Linked DNA regions of Saccharomyces cerevisiae S288C. The gene in region 2 interacts genetically with the main gene of each other region. Each region holds a gene or a part of one and is shown on either strand. Other genes may lie near its edges.

Region 1 (3,561 bases), on a different chromosome or scaffold from region 2:
GTGGTGCTCCTCCAGCTCCAGAAGCTGAAGGTCCAACTGTCGAAGAAGTTGATTAAGCTTAGCGATCGCCCTGTAAAATATCCGAAAAGTTTTACTTTTGCTTTCCTCTGTATTTTTTAATTTTTTTACGATAAACTAAATCATATAATATTTTATATAGAAATGATAAAAAAAGAATAAGAACAATAATAAAAAAATCAATAATATTATTCAATTGTACTTATGAATAAAAAAAAAAATAATAGTGACTTGAAGACTAGGAATATCGGTCATTTTCCCCTATAAATAAAAAATAAAAAGAGCTCTTTAATAATAAAAACTTGATAATATCAACAGTATACAATGTGTATATACGCCTATTTATTTTACCAAATCTATATTATTAAAACTTTTTTTTATAATTTTCAAAATACCTTTATTCATCTATACCGTCGAAACCAATTTCATTTATTCATAACATTCTAATACTCGTAAAGTTCTATTCGTAAGGGCGTCAAATCCTAGTTTGGTACAGCAGTGTAGATACCGTCTGCAGATAGAGCGCTGGAGATGGCTGGTCTCAATCTGGTAGAGTACCATGGGACACCAGTGATGACTCTAGTGACTTGGTCAGCGGGGATACCGGTCAACATAGTGGTGAAATCACCGTAGTTGAAAACAGCTTCAGCAATTTCAACTGGGTAAGTTTCAGTTGGATGAGCGGCTTGGAACATATAGTATTCAGCCAAATGAGCTCTGATATCAGAGACGTAGACACCTAATTCAACCAGGTTAACTCTTTCGTCAGATGGAGATAAAGTGGTGGTAGCTGGTGCAGCGGCGACACCAGCGGCAATAGCGGCGACACCAGCAGCAATTGAAGTTAATTTGACCATTGTATTTGTTGTTTTTTGGTTGTTGCTTTAGTGATGATGTGAGCTTAGTGAAGAAGAAGGATGAGGATGTACTTCTATTACAGCTGATTAAAAACACCCTATTTATATTAATTTTTCAACTAACAAACTACAGTTTTCTAACCAATATACTGAATACACATCGTAAGTTTCTCCATTGTAGCCAATATGAGATACTATTGTTTCTGAACGACACAAGTTTATTACTTCTCGTTTATGAAAGCACACCTTCTTGTAATGTAATTCTCGCCGTTGCCAAGCAATCGCGCAGGTTTGAACAATGCACGGTACAGTGAATGTTTCTAAGAAACCCTTTACCTTTCATGTAGGTGTGTTGAGTTTCTGCTAGCAGAAGATCCGAAAACAAACTTGGCGTGACTTGGCGTGGACCCTCGTTCAGAAGTCATCACAGTTGCCTTTTTTGGTATATCTTAAACGGTTGCTAGGCAGAAAAGGGGTTCGTTTTTTCAAGGTTAGTAGTCTACACGTTACTAATTACGTGAAGTTTGTGATCTTTAGGGGAGAGAACTTAAAAAAGACACTTTTATGCTGTATATGATGTCCACCGAGGACAATTATGAGCGCTTGTATTCTTTTTCATTCTTCGCTGCTTCGGAACTTCCGTAATAAAGAATTAATGCATCGTTTTATTGGTGCCTCTTCATATGCAAGAAGCCAACACCGGCATCTTAGCAATTTTCTCGTTATCTTCGAGCTCATAAAGTGGACGAACTCAACACATAATTCCTCCCAACTACATCTTGAAACAAGTTTCACTGCAATGTCGCTTCAATGGTAACTCTGTTACCAAAAAGGTTATATTATCATACGAAGGATGCTTTCTGTGCTTAAAATAGATTGCAGCGTACGACGTATAGTCTACTATAGTACTTTTTCAACCAAGTGATTATGTCCATTAGTGTGCAGTTCAGGTATTTGCTCCCAAATCGTATAGAAAAAAATGGTAAAAATAGTGATGGCGAAATGGGTCTTTTACTAAGTACATGCTAAAATATGGCGTGACCGTAATAACAAAAATTCGAGTGCTTTCCCTAAATAAAGTTACTATTTATTCGGGGCATCTAACAAATTTCGACATTAATTCACTACAATTGAGGTAGTACATCTTGGTTGTTCAAAAGTGTATAACAATCGTATGTTCTTTACAGTCCATAAAAAATGCAACTTTGAGGCTACCTTTTTTACCCACAATTAAACTGTCATTTGCACTTGAAGTGTTCGTGCTACTGTTCCTTTGTTCTAAGCCGTCAAATCAAGCTAAGGGCAGAGTTGGAAAACGCGTCACAATACTATAGGGGTTTTCATTACGTTTTACTTTCGGAACGAAAGAAGCAATCCAAACTGCTTAAAAGAAACGTATCTTGATGTCCTGCAAAATTTCAAAAATCAAGAATTTATTGCGTTTGCATCAAAAAACGTAAAAAAATATCTCCGATTAGTTTTTATTACCCACATATTGTACTAAATAATCTCACTCGGTAACAAATACTTTGTATTGTCTTTGATAGGGATAAGTGTTGTCAATTGCCACAGAGGCGGTATGTGACGTGAATATATGCGATAGATAGTTATGATACTAATTTGTCAACAGTTTTTTGTATTTTGAATTTCAAAGTGCACAAACTGAGGATTCTCAGCCTTCCTACGGCATAATCCTTTATAATTATTGTTTTAGCATATATCTGTATCAGGGTCTTTTGGCCTATGCTTTATGAATTGCATACCATTAGTTGTAATTTTTTTTCTGTTTCAAACAGGTAAAGAGGGTGAAAGCCATATATGAATGGGGGACAGATGAACCGCTTGCTGATCTTACTAAGTAATTGTTTAATAAGTGGTAGAATTGGGCACAGGTGTTTGACTGTAGTAAAGTTGGTGGCACGATATGGCCTCCAAATATGCGCGAGTTTTAAAAAATCAGGACATTCATTGTTCAGTAGTACGCTAAAACTTGTAGAACTCTAAGAAATAAACCATTATTCTACTGTGATCTTTAGAATCAAGAACAAAGATGGACAGCCTAAGCTAGTGCTTTGGGTCCAAAAAAAGAAAATAAAGGGGCGAGCTGGGAATTGAACCCAGGGCCTCTCGCATGCTTTGTCTTCCTGTTTAGTCAGGAAGTCGCCCAAAGCGAGAATCATACCACTAGACCACACGCCCTTATTAACTTGTGAACTTGATCCATTATGAACAATCTAGTACTGGGGGTTCGTGGGAATTTTAATCAGGATTGATAATGTAAATGGATAAAGAAACATATAAAAGGAGTACTAATCGTAATATTATTATGTAGAAATAACAGTTCTCTTTTTGTAATTCTTATATCTGTTGGAATAAAAATCCACTATCGTCTATCAACTAATAGTTATAACTATCACTATATTATCATATACGGTGTTAGATGATGACATAGGTTATGAGAAGCTGTCATCGAGGTTAGAGGAAGCTGTAGTGAAAGGATTGATAATGTAATAAGATAATGAAACATATAAAACGGAATGAGGGATAATCGTAATATTAGTATATAGAAATATTGATTCCATTATGAGGATTCGTAGATCCTCGAGGAGAACATCTAGTATATTCTGTATACCTAATATTATAGCCCTTATTAACAATGGAATCCCAACAATTACCTCAAAATTCA
Region 2 (5,571 bases):
TAGCCTTGATGAGGATCAGAAGGAGGTTACACGGATACAATCGAGTTCTGATTCCGAAGATCGTTCACTTTCGTATTCCGGCTCCAGCGATGTCAAGGATAACAATGACGATAACACGGAAGAATTAGATGACCCACAACCGAAAAGGCAGAAACGCTTCCGTGTAGTTCTAGGAGACAGTGACGATGAATAATCTGAACATTTTAACTAGCGGGAACGGCATATGTACGGAACTTTTATGTATGTTTTTAAAAAATTTCCTTTCTATCCTTATTACATTAAGATTTTTAAGCGATAGTAGGATCGGAAATATAAGCACTCGTTTATGATATAAATAGGTCAAGAATTTCGTAAAGTAAAATCAATACATATGTGAATCTTTTTTTTTTTTTTTTTGGGACTGCTATTGGTATTTTTTTAGCGTCACGTTAATCAGCCCAATTATGTGGGGGTTATGCAAGAAGCATTTTCCGAGCAATAAAATTCAAGTGCAGGAGAGAAACAAAGCATTAAAACCAAAGAAGAGTGGCAGCGAACATAAGACAAAGCAACTGTTTCCTGTATTCAATTGCAAGAAGAAGGAAAAAGGGGTAATGATACGGTTTGCGATTCTACGTAATGCTAACACATCTCTACTGTCCGCGAGAAGTATATGCTTATTTACCCAGGCGCCTACCTATTGTCATGTAAGGTTGAATACCTTGAATAAAAGCATTACAACTAAAAGAAATTCATTGACAGAGTCGAAAAGGCATGTCCATGATGGCAAGCATTTTTTTACGACGCCACATCAACAGCAACAGACGAAGTTGGGGGAAATTGAAGAGGGACACAGTCCTAACATAAAAGGAGAGGACTTGAGAAGCATTGGTCAAGCAATAACACATCAGCGAAACAAGCGCCGAAAGCAAATATGGTCCGCCATATTTGGTGGTATATTCGGTGTGATATTAGGATACTCACTAATCTATAGAGTGATATATTTAAAGGAACAAAGTTTCTTACCATTGTTTCCATCATCCAAGATACGTAAACTGAGTACCAGAGATTTGAAAAAGGTTGACGTAAACCAAGTACAGAAGCTTTCTAAATTAAGGGTTTTAGAGATATTATCCGGTCATGACATGATCAAGGAACAATACGGAGTACCATTGCTTGATAAAGATGGCAATTCACCCACGTTAAATGAATTCAGCATGTGGTGCGAAGATCAAGATCCATGTGTAACTGGTATTGTAATGGAGCCAGACGATAAAAGGGATAGTTCGCACACTTGGTATAGAATACCCTTTGTTTGCAAATGGAGGATAACGCATCGGCCAATAAGTATACGGGGAACCATCGACGATTTACTGAACCGCATTGGTTTGGAAACAGCCGATTTATTTGAGATTATATCGCCGGAGAGGGTATACGGGTCGTTCAAGTACGAATACCCACTGCAGGGGGACTCACATGCATTACACCTTTGGTTTCATGGCGAAATCGAACTGGACGATGATTCTTTGATTGTATATAATGGAAAATACCACGTTGATGTTAAATTGCAAGAAATCGACCTCTTCAGACGTGAAAAGAACGGACAACTAATACAGTACGTTCTATACAAAAACGAAGCGGGCGACAAGTAAGAAAAATGTAAATATTTTTATCACAATTATGATTATTATCGTTATTAAACTACTTATTTTCGGTTACGTAGATGAAATAGTGTTATATAAGAATATTTGAGAAAGTAAAACTGATAAATAAATATAATGGAATGAAAAAATAGAGACGAACTGGAAGAAGAGAAAAAAAATTAAAGCACCAAATTTACTACTCTGGGGCCTATAGATGGAATATCAAAGGGGAAGATGAGAAAAGAAATTATACATTTCAGAAACGTCAATAGGGTATCATCATCGTGGCAGTAAGCGGCGTTTTTCCTAAATCAAAAAGGCCAAAGCACCACCAACAGCAGCACCGACGACTCCGGCGTTTAGTAGTTGACCATTTTGAGCGTGCAAAGCAGGAGCAGCGTTACTCGTGGTGTTGGATGCGTTTTGAGCATTTACGCTAGTAGCGAGGCCGAAGACAGAGATGGCAGAAATGAAAACTTGTGATACTTTCATGTTTAAATCGATATTAAATTAGCGTGCTTGCTTGGAGGGCTTTTCAGAATGAAAAAAAAAAGAATGAAGAAAGAATTAACCAAAGAATGGAGGTTATGTGTAAGAAATGGCATTTATATATACATTTATATAAAAATGTATAAACATACTTGCATTATTGATGTCCCATAAGGGGTGAGAAAAGACAAAAATGGAAACAGGGGAAAAGAAGAAGAGTAAAAAAAGGATTATTTTAGGAGAGAAAGGGGATTAGAAGAACATCGGGCATAAACCTTTGAGCATCATCCTTTATTGATGTTTGACACCTTGCGATTGATGAAAAATATTGATGATATTAAGGTATTTCTGATAGCCACTGCCCCGTCCCTTGAAGCGGCCTTCCGTCGAGGCCTTGGCAACCGTGTCTGGGTGTGTGATATATTACATCAGAGGAAATAAAAGCTTGAGCGGCTAAACTCCCTTAGCTCAGGGGTGGTCTGGCCAGGAATTTTCAGTGGCCATTTTTCCTGTTCCGGGTCCGGCCAATCTGTGCCGGTTTTCTCTAGAGGAAAAAAAAAAGCATGCGGGGTAATGATGTAGAAGATATACAAGCGGGTTAAACTACATTAGTTATGAGTGCTAGAAAGCAAGCGAAGGATAATAGAAGAGGGCTATTCTATGTAAGTATGAGGAGACACAAATGGCGGCTTTTCATATTTTCTTCTGCAATTTCATATAGAAAAGGTGGTAGTCGTCCAGATCATAAACAATTTTGTCTAACTTGATGTAGTCGGGCAGTGACTCGTTGATGCTTAGTAGTTTTTGGAAGGATTGGTTCTGATAATTTTTGGTAAAAAAGGTCATCGAGAACTCTCTTGGTTGAAAAACGTTCAGAATATGTAGAAGAACGTCCAAGTTGTCTTGCTTCCCTTGGGAAATGTCAAATACGGGTATGTTACTTTCGAAAGAGGCGTAAGACCAACCCTTTTCCGGAGTCACGTGCAGGGTGTAATAGTATTTTTCAGCGAGAATCATATTGGATGAGTATCCACATGGCGTGAACGCAAATGCATCGTGGTGAAATGATAAATCGGAGTCTTGGGCCGAGTTGACATATATTTCGTCAAGCCTTGTATTTTTAGTCATTTGGTAGCCGAGGTTGTGGCCCTTATCTTCGTTTGGCTCCACGAGAGCGGTTGTGGATGCCTCAGGCCCGCAAACAAACTTACTAGCGCATTCTGGGTCCAGCTCCGTCATCAGTACTTCGAAAGTTTCGTCGTCATCCTCGATGTACTCCTTTCCCTTAGGTGTGGAGCGGTCCGTCTCGGTGACGTACAGGTTCCAGTGGTTGCTCTTGTCATTTCTTCCCACGGAATAACTTTTACCATTGTCGAAAAATTTGTTCAAATAGTCGACTTCGTCAGCCCAGTTTTGATGGATAGCGGCTTGCTTACAGGGGAAAAGGAAACATCGTCTAGAATAAAACACTTTAAATGGTTTGTACTTGCCCCCTTGTGTTGTGCGGAAAGCCCACGATAACTCTTGCTCAACGATCTGGAAAAGCTTTTCGAGACAGAACAATGTGGTTGTAGTACCGCACGTCTTCATCGTCAATTTGTGATCGAAGACGAAGAGGGAAGACTCACTCAACAAAAAGGCATCCAGTTCTTTAGTCTTCTTCATGGAAAGAACTTCGCATTTCACTAATTTCAAAATCTCGATCCATCTATCCATGCCAATATTTCTTAATGTCTTTTCGGTCGTGATGGACTTCTTGTGAGGGAAGAACCAGATTTCCAGCAACTTCTCGGGACCCTCGAACGCATCCGTTGAGTCTAAAGTGGCTGATAGTTCGTGGTCAATGTAGTTGTGGTTAGTCAATTCTTTTATGGTGACAGTCATTCTATGGTCCGCCTATTTGCGTAAGACACTATATGAAAACCTAAAAAATATAAAAAAGAAGCTACAGTACAGTAATTGATTAACCTGGAAGAAAAAAAAGAAAAAAAGAGTTGATGCAAGGAGCGAGCTGTAGCGAATACAATATATACACGTATAGATATGCAGAGATGCTTTTAGTCGATTAGCAAAGTTTATTCGATGCCTAAATACCGGAGAACCGTGTTTGGAATTTTTTTTCTTCGAGTGGAAAAAAGTGAAAATTTCCAAAGTCAATCATTGTGTACGTACGCTGAAATTGGATGCAGAAGAGGTAAAAGGCGAAGGAAAAGAGGGCGAGGGTAAAAAGCCTGATTGCCAAACCATGGTGCCCAATTTATTGGATATTACTACTGATGGAAGGCTACATATCTCTGGCGCTTTCTATCAGCTGTCATCGATTTGAAATTCTTCTAGCCCTAGGAACGCCATTATGGGGCTTATCCGGGTAGCCAGTTGGCGGTTTTAGTTTTTTCACTTCTTGATTTTTTTCTAGTTCGAAGAATTTTTTCCACTGATGATTGAGCTATAAAAGAGCCTGATTAAGATGAAGAGCTCCGATTCTCTTCGTTAACGGAGCATCAAACATGACGTTAGCGTCAAGTAACCTACGATATTTGTGCAACAGACATGATGGAGTACCCTCATGCTTTGGCGCGTGCGCATCTATATAAGGTTAGGGACTGCAAAAGAAGCGGCGAGGCAGCCCACATCAAGTGGAACTACACAGACTTCCTTGTCGCGATACTACGGTCCCAAGAGCAATCCTAACAAGCAATTACATATTCCCCCGCTGAACCTGTACAGTCCACGGATGGTGCAGAAGTTATATGATTTGGGGGAAGACGCTTTTTCACATCTTCTTGCATGATAAGAGTAGTAGTAACTAAGTAATATGATTCAGTCAGTCTCTAGTTAATATAATTAGGCATTACCCTACATTGTGGCGGCCTCTTTTTTATTTCGAATCGGGCCTTCCTTCCACCCCGGCCCCGGTTGCGTCGATCAGAAAATTATATTATGGATGAGGATGATGAAGGTGCTTAACCTTTACAGTCAAACTTTTAATAGTCAACCATTCACAAGGACTAGGAATTTGTCTCTGGAAACAGCTGGTTCCACAAAGAAGTACTTCCACGACATTGCTATATACTTGTGCTGGTATATTTTTCTTTGTTAGTTAAACCCCATTTTTATAAGCGTATCGTTTCGTATAGTGCCGTACTCAAAGATCAAGGATTAAAACGCTATTTCTTTTAAATCTGCTATGTCTGCTGCTCCTGTCCAAGACAAAGACACTCTGTCCAATGCCGAGCGTGCGAAGAACGTCAACGGGTTGCTTCAGGTGCTCATGGACATTAACACTCTGAACGGAGGGAGCTCCGACACTGCTGATAAGATAAGAATTCATGCCAAAAACTTCGAGGCAGCTTTGTTCGCAAAGAGCTCTTCAAAGAAAGAATACATGGACAGCATGAACGAAAAAGTTGCTGTCATGCGCAACACGTACAATACGAGGAAAAACGCCGTTACTGCTGCT
Region 3 (4,919 bases), on a different chromosome or scaffold from region 2:
ATCCAGAATCTCAGAAGGGAGAAACCCAATCGCTAAATCGATATTATCACCCAGAAGTTTCAAATAGGCGATTGTAGAATATACACAGGGACAACCACTCAGTTTATGGCTTCAGTGCGCGCCCAGTTCTGGAGGAAAGCATTATCGAAGTAATAAAACTTTAAAAAAGCTCTCCGCAACTAATGAGGATTGCAGTATCCAGATACCCTTGTTTTCTGCCAAATGAACACTTTTACTATGTCATATAAACAAAAAGTGCCATTTCTTGGTACTGCTTCAGTCTTAGGAATGGTCAATACGTTATTATTACTTAAATATACGATTAATAACATGCTCTGTTGCGTATTTAGTAAGTGTGTAAGGAAACTGTAATATTACCTAACCGGTATCCCACGTGTTTCACGAAGGGCGCTTTTGTTGTTGCAATTATAATCCTAGTTAGGTAAAAAAAAAATACTTAATTCCTATCATCTACTAGATACAAGAAAGACGTCTCTGAATTACACACCGTCTCTCAAATTGACAGATTGCAAATACCATCTCTTAGTCCAAAGTCTTATCCTCTTACCATAGTAGTACATTGGTAAAGCAAATGCAGTAATCCCAAAGTTGATGACAGCTAAAGCAATGTAAGTATTTTCAGTACCAGATGCAGCTAGCCAATCAGAACAGGTAAAGGTGAAAATGCAAGATATCGTGTTGTTAATAATAGCAGTACAAACCATACCTTCCAAAACCATATCGGGGTAACAATCCATTAAATACGCCATCGCAATATCACCAGAACAACCCCATGCAAACCCAACAAAACCCAACCCGACGTATATAGCTTGCCAAGGCCATTGTCTAGCGGTACCGATACCAAACATCAGCAAACCCGCTGGCCCAATAATTGCAGTTGCGATAGAGAAGTATAGTCTAAATTCTGCCTCTAAAATTCCTCTATTGTGACGAGCCATCCAAAGAACAAAGTAGTCACTAACAATGCCAGCACAGATACAACCGATGACTGCTCCAATAAGTGTGGGAACATTCATAATTGCGACACCAAAATCACTATAGTTCCATGGAGGTTCGTAGTAGGCGCTTTCTTGAGTGGTCAAATAAAACGTCAGGAAAACGTCTTGAATACCCCAAAACATACCAGACAACCACACTGGCGGGAATAAGAACATTCTAAGGTTGATCTTTAGATATTTGAAATACTGTTTAAAACCGTAGCCTTTCAAATTAGTAGCTTTGGTTAATATTGCTACTCTTTTTGGGTATGGTTTCAAATGCTCTTTTGAACCATCAATCAATTCGCGAGTCTCAGGTATGGTAACTTCCTCTTCATTGTTAACTTCGAATTCAGCCGTCTCTGAAAGGTCTACACCTTTCTCACCCATGGCTCCAGGAGTTGATAATTTAGCGTCAAGATGACGTTTCCTGCGCGACACGGCCGTATTGTCAGAGTTTTGTAAAGTGGTACCGTCTTCGTATCCCGATTGACAGCTGGTCAAAGGGGTCATATACTGGCCTCTGTCGAAGTACGTTTCTTCGCAGCCAAATATAATAGTTATTAAAAGGCCACCAGATATGATCACTGCGACCCAACCGACCCAACGGAAGTTGGTAAATGCAGATATGTACCCAGCGATCAATGGGCCCAAGAACGTACCGATACTAGTGCACATGATATACACGGTCAATACGGAGCCCAATTGGTGCTGGAAAAAAATGTCGCTCAGGGACAGTTGCACCTGGGCTTCAGCACAGGACTCACTAATACCTACAAACAACTGAGACCATATTGTGTCGCTCGTTCTTTTGGCCAAAGCAAACCAAAGCGCACCAAAGAGACCTAATGTGGTGCAAACTATGTACGTAATCTTCCTGCCATACAAGTTAGCAAATGGAGCCAAGAATAAAGTGGACCAACCAATACCTAGGAAAAGAACACCAGCCCCTGTGTTCATGGAATCGTAGGATATCCCATAAATCTCATTCAATGAGTCTTGAGCAGCACCAGCGTCGTTACTAGTAGCGGCGGTAAACGCAGTTATAAAGGCCATTAGACCAAAATGAGCCAATTTCCTCCAGCTAGACCAGTTCAGTGGATCATTTGGCGAGTATGATGGTTGAGGGATTAGGACGACTCCTGAGGAGGTTTTCTTCAATTTTGATTCGTATATAATACCATTTTCCAAATTTTGGGAAGAATAGATGTTAAATGTGCCAGGAATATAGTCCGGATGATCCCTGTTGGTATATTTGTCCATCTGTTAAAAATTTAAGATTCACACTCGCAAACTTTCTTCTATAGTAGTTCTTTTCTTTATATTCGTTAGAAATGCAAAAGTTGCGAAGCTGTTTTGTTATATCCTGTAGATTGTAATATGATACTTCGATTCTTTCGGATTTAGTGTTTACTTGCTATTCTTCTAGTTTCAAATAAATAAGATAATAAGGGATGTCAACTTGGTAGTAATAGCATGAAATAGTATCGTAAAATTAAGGATGCTAGCGCTTTCGACAACAAAATGGGCTTGTTTTATTTTTGCAGAGGAGGTTCAGTAAATATTACCTCAGAGACTGATACAGATAATTCTTTCTTATTCGACTGCGTATTTATCTTTATCGTTTAGATTGAAGACAATAGACAATTAAATGAATCTATAGAAAGGTTAGGAAATAGTCTAAACTACTATGGTTTGTTAACGGCGAGGTCTTTAGTTTAATTTTCTGTCTGGAAAATAACTTTATCCTAAAAAGAAAATTTTCATCAACTGCAACTTTTTTTGTTATGCTTTTGTTCTCGCTAGGCGAAAGCTCCCTAAAAATATCCGTAGAATTTCATATGACACAACCAGGCCTTGATGTAAACGTCAAACTACACATTTCTCAAAGCTTAGAGAGCTGATGCATGAAATTTTTGCATTGTGTGGTATTATATGTGACTTAAGAAAGTAATTGTACATCATAAGAGAGAAAAATTCTGTTCAGAGAAGAACTATTTGAATATATTTTAAAAGATAAAAAAATGTCTTGGCAAAAATAAGTAAGTAATGAAAAAGAAATTTTCTCGAAGAAAAAAATGAAAAAAATGACTAAGTACTCAATATCCTTGATTTTCTAGTTTTCATTTTCCTCAAAAAAACTTGTCCACATTCATTCTCTGAATCGTTCTTCTTTGGTATATACTATCATGCGAATACGTCTTTTTTCTTTTGATATTAAAATATCTACAGACTATTTTGTGCACCTATAAAATAAATTTTGTCATGACTTGTAATTTTCCCATAATCGGGACTATTTAAGGACCAAAAATACACTTTCGCCCAACTTGCTGCTTGACCAGGACTTTCGATAATCTCCTAATTACACTAGCTAGTTTTTACTTGTTATGGTTTGTGCAGTTGAGATAGCTCAGTAAAATGGCTTTATGTGTTCTGATCTTATAATGAATCGTAATCGAAATCCACATATTTCATTCATACTGACGGAGAATAGGTTAAGCGCTGCTGCTATGGTACCTACTTTTACTCTTTGTGGTGTGCGATTAGTTTTGTAATACAAGGGTACTTCTGGTAATAAATATACAATTATTTTATGAAACTATGATACAGGAGGGCAGAAGTTCTGACGATAGAGCTACAAAAGGTAGTATCGACCTAGGAATTTATAAGGACTGTTTTTCTTTCAACAGCATCTTAGATGCATGTAGGGAAAACAACGATGCTGATAATGCAGAAAACTACTGCATACACTACTGAGGTGTAATTCATGTTTCCTGCAGTAACCGGTAGTGTATATGGGAAAGATAAAAATACCAGGCAGAACAAGGTCCATAGAATACATATAATATGAGGAATCATAGACATACGACGACGGTTAGGCCTGCTGACACAATTTACGTCACTCTCGATTCTATGAATGAATTTTTCCTTTTTAATAACGAACAGGAATATAAAAGAAGGAACTGCGTACGACATTAGTAACAGGGTGATGCATGCAGTGATAATTGCGTTGAAAGCGGTACTAGATCCCATAAATATACAGCCAATTATCGTTACACATATTTGTGACAAAAAATGGGCATATAATGGAGACTTAAACCCAGGTGTCAACACTGCTAGCTTCTTCAAGGATTTGTTTCCCAAGGAACCCTCTTTATAAAATGGTGCGTAACTTTTCCCGAATGATTGGAGGATTCGACTTTGCCAGGTTCCACTTGCAATGCCTGAAACAAAACCTGTTGTGATACACATACATTGCAGGAAGACACTGAGATTCCTATTACCAGTGGCCTGGTAAAATATTTCTACGATAGGTAAAATAGACTCAACGACTGCCGTTTGGTCAGTGATGCAGAAAAACAAACCAACGCAATAAATAAAACTAGTTACAAAGCCCACAATGATGGTAGTGATAATAACTTTGGGAACTAAGAAACGTGACTTACTATAACCCACTTCATCAATCATGTGCGTAGCAGAGTCAATGCCAACAAATGCCCAGATCGGATTGACCAAACCGACAACAAACGCCATTCCAGACGAATTCCAGCCTGTTTGATTATCAAAGCTCCCAAATATATTAGAAGCTTTGGGCCATGGGTCTACGGTGTTGTCAGATCTTGAAACAATACAAATAATGAAAGTCATGGCGAAAGACAATAGAGACGTATAGAGCCCAAACTGAGAGATATAGGGCAACGGAGTTGAATAAATGTTGAAAAGTGTCAAAACGGCATTGATACACTCGTAACCCACAAAAACATGCCAGTGCTTTAACTCGTAGTCCGGATGCAACAACTTATGAATACCGATACAGCTCATTGACAAAGATGAGCAGATACTTGCGGTAGTAAAAATGGCACCGAAATAGTTCAGCAACCCTACAACCATGGAAGAAACCTTTTGAAATTTAGAAGAAAC

Evidence for each region. Genes that interact genetically often act in the same process or in processes that back each other up.
Region 1: mutations in SPE2 (region 2) and PAU17 together harm fitness more than expected from each alone (negative genetic interaction), as found in Saccharomyces cerevisiae (2 studies listed by BioGRID).
Region 3: mutations in SPE2 (region 2) and HOL1 together harm fitness more than expected from each alone (negative genetic interaction), as found in Saccharomyces cerevisiae (3 studies listed by BioGRID, with this or other methods).

The regions. Positions count from the first base shown.
Region 1 is NC_001144.5:92,061-95,621, reverse strand, and holds PAU17 (seripauperin PAU17), read right to left. Parts: upstream 876-3,561; coding exon 501-875; downstream 1-500. Other genes in the region: Hsp70 family chaperone SSA2, read left to right, coding at 1-56.
Region 2 is NC_001147.6:229,642-235,212, forward strand, and holds SPE2 (adenosylmethionine decarboxylase SPE2), read right to left. Parts: upstream 3,996-5,571; coding exon 2,805-3,995; downstream 1-2,804. Other genes in the region: ubiquitin-protein ligase PSH1, read left to right, coding at 1-193; AIM39 (Aim39p), read left to right, coding at 444-1,631; DDR2 (Ddr2p), read right to left, coding at 1,929-2,114; GAL11 (Gal11p), read left to right, coding at 5,299-5,571.
Region 3 is NC_001146.8:727,926-732,844, forward strand, and holds HOL1 (Hol1p), read right to left. Parts: upstream 2,262-4,919; coding exon 501-2,261; downstream 1-500. Other genes in the region: BIO5 (Bio5p), read right to left, coding at 3,693-4,919. UniProt on the Saccharomyces cerevisiae protein: Seems to be involved in the uptake of several cations and of histidinol.